2 linked regions of the Nothobranchius furzeri genome follow. The protein of the gene in region 1 binds, or shares a complex with, the protein of each later gene. Links are inferred from orthologs where the notes say so. Each region holds a gene or a part of one and is shown on either strand. Other genes may lie near its edges.

Region 1 (4,439 bases):
GGGAGAGAAAAAGAGGTAGAGAGGATGGACGTGTTGATAGACAAGGTGGTGTAGGGGTCAGAGCAACAAGGGAGGTGCAGGGTGCTGATCCAGAGACAGGCATCTACCTGGAGGTCCTCTGAACTGTTTCTTCTCATAAAATAATGATTAAAAATGGTTCCGAACTCCGGAGGATCAGTCATTCATGTTTCCCGCCACATGTTGCTGCAGCATTCACTGATTCAGATATCTGGAATCTTGTTGAGCTTAAGCACTCTTACAATTTTTGTTACGTCAGTAATTTTTCTTTTCAGCCCAAACGTTTTACTAGTCAGATGATCTTAAAGTTCAACTTCTGATTAAACTTTAGGACAACCGGTGTTATGATACTTTGCACCAATCCCACAGACTGGCTTTAACCCTTCTGATGATAAAGTGAAATTTTTCGTTTTATGGATGTTTTTTGTTTGTTTGTTTTTGCCCGTGATAATTAATTTGAGCATTAATAAAGTTGTTATTGAATATAAAACATTTTGAAATAAAGAATCACTGCTTTTATGTTTGGGCAGGAATGTAAAAACTGTGATTGTATTAACTTTTTTCCTCACAACTTTATTTTACAATAATCAAAAACATTTGGTGTTCTTTTATATCATTGTCCAAGAAAAAGCAAAATAAACAGCTTCAGTCGATAACTATTTTCAGATTTAGAACATTTTCAGTTAAGTATATATGACATATACTGAAAACAATTGATATGACAATAAAAGTGGGTTGTTATTATTAGCAAAAATATGAACAAAACAACAGAAATAATTTAAATTTAAAAGATTAAATACAATAAATAACTAATAGTACTACACAGTATTAAAATAACATTTTATATTTACATGCAGGCCCGAGCAGGGTCACGCGCGCGAACCGAACCAGTCAGTCAAACATCTCTTTGGCTTAGTAGCCAGCCAGGGCGCATATCAATCGGGACACTGTGACAGGACGCTCACACTGCCACACATTTAAATACTAAAATAATTCTGCCCTAAAATTTATAAAATAAAACACATTTTCAGGATATAAACAAAAGAAAAGTAAGTTAACATTTTTAAATCTTTAAAACTATTTATTAGTGATGTCTCAGTTCACAGTTCTCCCGTTTGGGGGCGCTCACGTGTGTAAAGTAATTATGGTAAAAGAAGAAGAAAAAGAAACGCTCTCATTGGACAGAAAATCGGTTGTTTGGAAGTTACGTCAGGTTGTCAAATGTGCAGCCTTTTGGTGGGAAAATGTGGACACCCTTTCGCTCGTTTTACGTTAAATTAAGCGTGTTAACACGAAAATTCAGTAGTTTACTTTGCTGACAAAGAAACGGGTATTTGTCAAGCATACAGCAGTGTAAACATTTTGTGCGCAGCAGTCATTTAAATACAACGAATTACCAAACGAATGAGGAAAAGTTCACTATCTATTGTTTGCTAGCATGCTATCAGCTTAGTCAACAGCTTGTTTAACGCAGACTAACGAGAGAAGTACAGCCACTAAACGAAATCTGGTTTCGTTTTATGTGTCTTGAACCTGATACGGATTCGCTAGATCTTTAAAGCGCTCGGTTGACGGTTTTTATGGTTAAGTAAGTTTGAACTTGTCAAAATATGCCAGAAATCCAACTGAAACATGTCGTGTCCTGCAGCTCAGAGGACAGTGTAAGTTTTTTTTTGTATCATGTAAAGTCGATGTTCAGCTGCTGTTGAGCTTCCACTAAACCCACTTTCAACATAAAACAGACGCATAAAGCAGACAATCTCCTGAGCTCAGACACCTACAGAAAGTGGAAAGCAGCAAGACCCGGAGAGAAACAGACATCAGTCATTCTGCAGGTTGGTTTTTGGCCCTTTTGATGTCAAATGTCGGTAGTTTGTTTTTATTTGCCCAGGTGACACTGAACAGAGATATTTAAATCAGGCTTTTATTTCAGTTGTAAATCCTAGAAAATGCTTAAATTATAGAATGATGTTTTTAGGGTTTTGAAAGAGATGGATCTTTAAGCATGCGTTTGAACTCAACTTTAATTGACATATCTGAATGTAGCACAATAACATTTTAAAGTCAAGTGATTTGAGCATGTTCATGTGCTGATCATTAAATTAGAATTTCATGAAAAAGGTAATTACTTTTAAAAGTGAAACTTGTATATTAGATGCATTCTTAACACACGGACTGATGTATTTCAAATGTTTATTTCTTCAATTTTGATGATTATAACTGACAACTAATGAAAATCCCAAATTCAGTATCTCAGGATATTAGAATATTGTGAAAATGTTCAATATTGAAGGCCCCCAGGTGCCACACTCTAATCAGCCAAAAAAAAAGAGCCTTTTAATGGTCTCAGTCTTGTTCTGTAAGCTACAGAACCATGGGGAATACTGCTAACTTGACAGTTATTCAAAAGATGACCATTGACATCTTCCACAAGGAGGGCAAGACACAAACGGTCATGATAAGGAGGCTGGTTGTTCACAGAGCTCTGTGTCCAAGCACATTAATAGAGAGACAAAAGGAAGGACAAGATGTGGTAGAAAAACTTGTAATAGCAATAGGGGTAACTGCACCCAGGAGAGAATTGTGAAACAAAACCCATTAAAAAATGTGGAGATTCACTAAGAGTGGACTGCAGCTGGAGTCAGTGCTTCAAGAACCACCCACACACAGACATATTCAAGAAATGGGCTTCAGCTGTCGCATTCCTTGTGTCAATCCACTTTTGAAGAAATGACCGCTTCAGAAGCGTCTTGCCTGGGTTAAAGACAAGGACTGGACTGCTGCTGAGTGATCCAAAGTTATGTTCCTTTGGAAATCAAGGTCCCAGAGTCTGGAGGAAGAGAGGAGAGAAACATAATCCGCATTGCTTGAGGTACAGTGTAAAGTTTCCACAGTCATTGATGGTTTGGGGTGCAGTGTCATCTGCTGATGTTGGTCCATTGTGTTTTCTGAGGTATAAGGTCTACGTAGCTGTCTACCAGGAAGTTTTAGAGCACTTCATGCTTCCTGCAGCTGACCAAATTTATGGAGATGCAGATTTAATTTTCCAACAGAACTTGGCACCTGCACACAGGGTCAGTGACCATGGTATTCCCGTTCTTGATTGACCAGGAAACTCACTTGAACACCTATGGGATATTGTGAAGAGGAGGATGCAATATCCTGGACTAGGCCTGGGCAATAAATCAATTGAATGAATTAATTCGAATTTTTTGTTGCGGGTGATTTAAAAAAAAAGTGTAATTTATGTAATAGCGCCTTTTTGGCCCTCCGGAACTTCCGTAGCATTAGTTTCACAGTTTATTTCTGCAGCGAGCCTTAAAAACTCACCTCACACCACCCAGAGTTTCTTCTTTAAAACGAACGTGCTTCCTGGGTGTTTGGTTGTAGGTTGAAAACTTTACATCAGTTGTCAAGGGGAAAGTTCAGCAGACGTGTTTGTTTACATTTTTGCTGCTGCGTGCCTGCAGTGTGAGAGAAGGGAGACAGGTGACGCTCCGTTCAGCATCTCTACAGACTCCAGAAGCAGCGACAGCCAGCTGGTTTGATCCGCTCTGAAAGGTGTTGGTCAGAATTTGCACATCGCCTTTTTTTTTACAGAGACTGGGCGCGTGCAGCCATCATGCGTCACTCAATTCAGTGTCCGTGCAGAAACTCATGTAGGAATTTTTATCCGCTGCACTTGAATCACACCAATAAATATTCATTATTTAACGGAAAAAATAAACCGAAACGATACGCAAGTGGACCGAACCGAAACGGTTTAACACTCCCTCGTGAACCGTTACACCCCTAGTCTTAATTGATATTCAAATTTTCTGCGATACTGAACTTTGGATTTTCATTAGTTGGCCGTTATAATCAACATTAAAGGTGCAGTATGTAAGAATATAGGGAGAATTTTACAGTGAGAAAATCCCAAAAGAGTAATGTTTCAGTCATTTTGGAAGGAAGATTATACTGAAACGTATTTCATATCCAGCTGGCTGTGGGGATTGTCAGCTTTTCTCATGTCTTAACAAAGGAAGGAGGAACGTGACTGCTGTTTACCATCAGTGAGTGTGGGGTTGCCGTGTCTCCTGTGAGCTAATACTGCTGCGCCGACAATTGTAATTTGACAACGGCCAGCAAAAAATCTCCAGAGTTGTTTAAAATGGTTGCGGTGCAGTAAACAAATATTACCACATTTTTACTTCATTTCTACATAATGCACCTTTAAAGAAATAAACATTTGAAATATATCGGGCTGTGTGTAATGAATGAATCTCGCATGCAAGTTTAACTTTTTGATTAAAATTAGTGAAAGAAACCAGCTTTGTTATGACATTGTAATTTTCTGACCAGCACCTGTAAGTATGCACTGATCATGAATCCCCAACAGTGTAAGCTGCTGTAAAATCGTAAAAATTCACCTTGAAACG
Region 2 (3,705 bases), on another chromosome or scaffold:
GAAGGGAACACAAGAGATGATCCTTCAATCATCCAGGAGACCAAAAGGACGTTTAAACCAACCAGAGGACAGAAAAACACGCAGAGAAAACGTGATGTTCTACACGGGTACGGAATTCAGGGGGAGCTCAGATCTCTTCCGAGCCTTAATATTCCAGAACATTTCAGATCCTTTAGGATGAGAGGTGGAACCCTTCCAGAAAGAGAAGAAGTCCTGCTGGGTTTGATTTACACTGAGCATGAAACCCAAACCAGAACCCCCGTTCCAGACCGGAGGTTCTGGTCCGGATCTCTAAGCAGAAGAACTCAACTGTTTCAGATTGATGTTTTTCATCTTTGCTCATCTTTCTTCTTTTTCTTGGCTCCTCCTCCTCCTCCTCCTCCTCATCACTGAGCTCCGCCCCATCTGGTAAGGATGTGACAGTGGGCGTGGCCGGCGCAGCAGCTTGTTTGTTTTTCTTCACAGGCGACGGAACTAAACAAGCAAAGAAAGAAACCACAAATCACCCCAGAAACAGCTTTTGATCAAACACTGAACTCAAATCAGAACTTTAACGTCCACCTCGAAGTTTGTCTCTGAGCTGAGCCTGACCTCCTCTGACCCCTGACCTCTGCATGACCTGGTTTCTCTAACTGAGACTGTCCATAGAACCCTCGAACATCAGAACCCTCTTGAACCTTTCAGACCTGAGGACAGACTCCCGGCTGAGACAGCTGCAGACATCCATGCTGGTAGAACCCTCCTCCTGGGAGCAGACGGAGCCTCCAGAGCTCCGGCCACCTGTTGGGTCGGTTTGTCCTAAAGAGGAAAACATCAGCGAATTAAAACTAAAAATCTACTGAAACAAATCCAAAAATAATCATCAAATAAATTGTTAAGCTTTTTTTTTCAGTGAATAAATAATTTAATCTAAAAGCTTTGGTGATTAATGAAAATGACTCTGCTGTGGAGGCGGAGCCTGCTTACTCCATATGATCACGTGACTCCCGTTTCCTGTGTCTTTACTTATCATCTCCATCAAAGATCTCCGGGCTACAACCAGAAACCAGATCAGCATTTTAAGGCCTTTCATCTTACCGGTCTCACGCTGAGACGGTTGGACCCGCCCCCGTTCTGAGCTGCTGGCTGAGGTGAAGCTCGATTCTGTTCCGGTTCAACACCTGGAGAAGATTCCACATCTGGTCTGGTAGCTTCATCTTCATAGTTCTGACTGTTCCTGTGGAGGACAGGGATGTTTCGGTAGTGAGAGCTGAGTGAAGCTCCACCTGATCTGAAATCAGCCTCAAAGCAAGCAGGAGTACCTGGGCGTGTGCTCCTCTTCAACAGCCTCCACCCTGAAGATCAGTCGACCCGGCAGCAGAGAGAACAGGTCTCCATGATGCAGCTGGTGCCAGGAGCCTCTCTGCAGAGGTCGAGGGTCATCATCCAGCGAGGACTGAACGAAACACGGGTTCAGGTGGGTCTAAAGGTCATACAGCAGTGAAGCAGGGTGTGTAAAACTGGCCAGAAGAATAACGCAAGGTGGCAATGCTGGAAAAAATAAACTAAACTAGCAGAAACCCAAAGGTACCGGTTTGAGTCTGAGTCCGTTCCGGTTCTCCAGGAGCCCGTGGTTCCGCGACACTCTGGTATCACTGATCTGAGAAACAGCAGAACAGGATGGGTCAGACTTGTAAAACCCAAAGAAGGGATCGGTACACGGATCAGAACCGGCTCGGCCAGACTAAAGACTGGAGTACTCACGCCCAGTAACGGACCCCGGCCTAACACAGTCTCACCCGGCAAAAGGTGTACTGGATCTCCGCCTTCAACCGGGACGAGTTCGAATCCGGACATGTGGCGAGGAGACGGGACCGGAGAATCCTCCGGTCCGTCGACGGTTCCGGTCCAACTGTGGTGGGACAGAACACGAGGATTAACGAGGTTAAAACGGGACCTGAAAGATTAAGAGAAATGATCCAGACCTAATGTCTGAGCTCTCCTTTGGGCGGACGGGCCGCTGGCTCTACTGTCTGCTGCAGATTCAAAACTTCCGGGATGAACCTGAGCATGCGCAGTTTGGAAATTAGCCAAACTACGTTCAACGTCACATTATTTTTAACCGTATGTACAGTCTATGTTTTTAACCATCACATTTTACACAGAAATAGATAATTATATTCAATTCTGTTTTTGTAAATTCCAGATTCAAAAATAAGGGTTCTGCTTCTGTCCTTTAGTGGTTTTATGAAACAACAAAATAGAAGGCTACATGTAACCGAGCTAAAGCCTGATTACGAGAAATTCGAGAAATAAACTGACTCGTGACGTTTGCTGTAATCATTTCCTATTTGTTAGAATCTTTGTAAAATGGGCTAATTTCTAAATGGAGTCCAGTGGAGACTTGAAAGAAAAAAAACTAGAAAGGAAATGAATGAGGGTGAGTCTTCTGACAACTCGGCTAGCATCATTTGTGTTTTTGACTTGTTTTAATTCGGTTATGTAATTTATACTTATATTTTTAACGAAATGTAATGTTTTTTTTCTTCCAAAATTCACATACGTAGGAGCTAGGAGCATTCTACGCATACGCAAGTTACTCGAAACGTGATGACGTCACGTGTGTACAAACCGTACAAACGACCGGAGAGACAGCAGGAGCGATTTGTGGCAGCGGCAGCGCTTGTGGCACTTACAGTGGCAGCTCTGATACTTCCGGGTGGTGCCACGGCTTTTAGTGGCACCCGCGGCTTTTAGTGGCACTAGCCACGCCCCCTACCACTGCTGCCATTACACTTCCGGGTGGTGCCACGACTTTTAGTGGCACCCGCGGCTTTTAGTGGCACTAGCCACGCCCCCTACCACTGCTGCCATTACACTTCCGGGTGGTGCCACGACTTTTAGTGGCACTAGCCACGCCCCTACCACTGCTGCTCTTGCCTGTTAGTGGCACTAGCCACGCCCCCTACCACTGCTGCCATTACACTTCCGACTTTTAGTGGCACTAGCCACTCCCCCTACCACGACTTTTAGTGGCACTAGCCACGCCTCCTACCACTGCTGCCACGGTACCTGCGGCTGTAGTAGTGACCTCAGTAATTGCAGCACTTATTGCATCATCGGCCTCATCATGCCAACGTTTTTATTTTTTACTTTATCAACAAAATCAAAACAAACAAGGCTGTCACCGAAAATATTTGAAATATTTCAAGCGGTTTACAAATGCGTTTCCCAGTCACTTCATGCATATACAGTGTAATGCAATCAGAAGCGTTAATGCATTTATTTTTTCCATCATTTTTGTTGCTCCCCCAGACGAATCCGTGACAGATCTAGTGGAAGATCCACAGACACTTCCGGGTGGAAGACCGGCGGTGGGTCACCGGCCTCCGGTACAGAATCAGGAAAAGCAGGGGAGCACCAGAGCCAGATGGAGAGCGCCAGAGCAGTTCTCAATTTCTGAAATAATTTATGACAACTGCTACCAATGTGGATTGTGGAATAAAAAGAGATAAACTGTTAGTTTTCTCAATATTGTCATTGCAATCGGGACAGATACCGCCATCTGCCGGCTTAAAATGGTATTGCAGTACATTTTAAACAACTTGGGAGTGAAAAGGCTGTTTTGTCACTACAACGGATTTGGGGATGTAGTTTATTGTTAATAGATATTGTGGTTTCACAACAATAAAGTTTTGTATTGTGCATATGGATTTATGAGTAGTA

What was found.
Region 2: the proteins of xrcc1 (region 1) and aplf are in contact, whole or in part, in a crystal structure (PDB 5W7X), measured with the Homo sapiens proteins. The link is inferred for Nothobranchius furzeri from reciprocal best matches to the Homo sapiens genes XRCC1 and APLF. Residues at the interface, in NP_006288.2 of Homo sapiens: Pro514, Tyr515, Ala516, Gly517, Ser518, Thr519, Asp520; in NP_775816.1 of Homo sapiens: Arg27, Gly28, Pro29, Gly32, Ile33, Thr34, Lys36, Arg37, Val38, Ser39, Arg40, Arg41, His58, Asn60.

The regions. Positions count from the first base shown.
Region 1 is NC_091745.1:68,574,659-68,579,097, reverse strand, and holds the start of xrcc1 (DNA repair protein XRCC1), read left to right. Parts: upstream 1-1,400; 5' UTR 1,401-1,628; coding exon 1,629-1,679; intron 1,680-1,760; coding exon 1,761-1,853; intron 1,854-4,439. Other genes in the region: sialic acid-binding Ig-like lectin 5, read left to right, coding at 1-122. UniProt on the Homo sapiens protein: Scaffold protein involved in DNA single-strand break repair by mediating the assembly of DNA break repair protein complexes. Negatively regulates ADP-ribosyltransferase activity of PARP1 during base-excision repair in order to prevent excessive PARP1 activity.
Region 2 is NC_091746.1:29,723,705-29,727,409, reverse strand, and holds part of aplf (aprataxin and PNK-like factor), read right to left. Parts: intron 2,075-3,705; exon of another isoform or gene 1,965-2,074; intron 1,892-1,964; 5' UTR 1,837-1,891; coding exon 1,744-1,836; intron 1,640-1,743; coding exon 1,571-1,639; intron 1,463-1,570; coding exon 1,302-1,462; intron 1,217-1,301; coding exon 1,078-1,216; intron 799-1,077; coding exon 687-798; intron 475-686; coding exon 311-474; intron 1-310. UniProt on the Homo sapiens protein: Histone chaperone involved in single-strand and double-strand DNA break repair.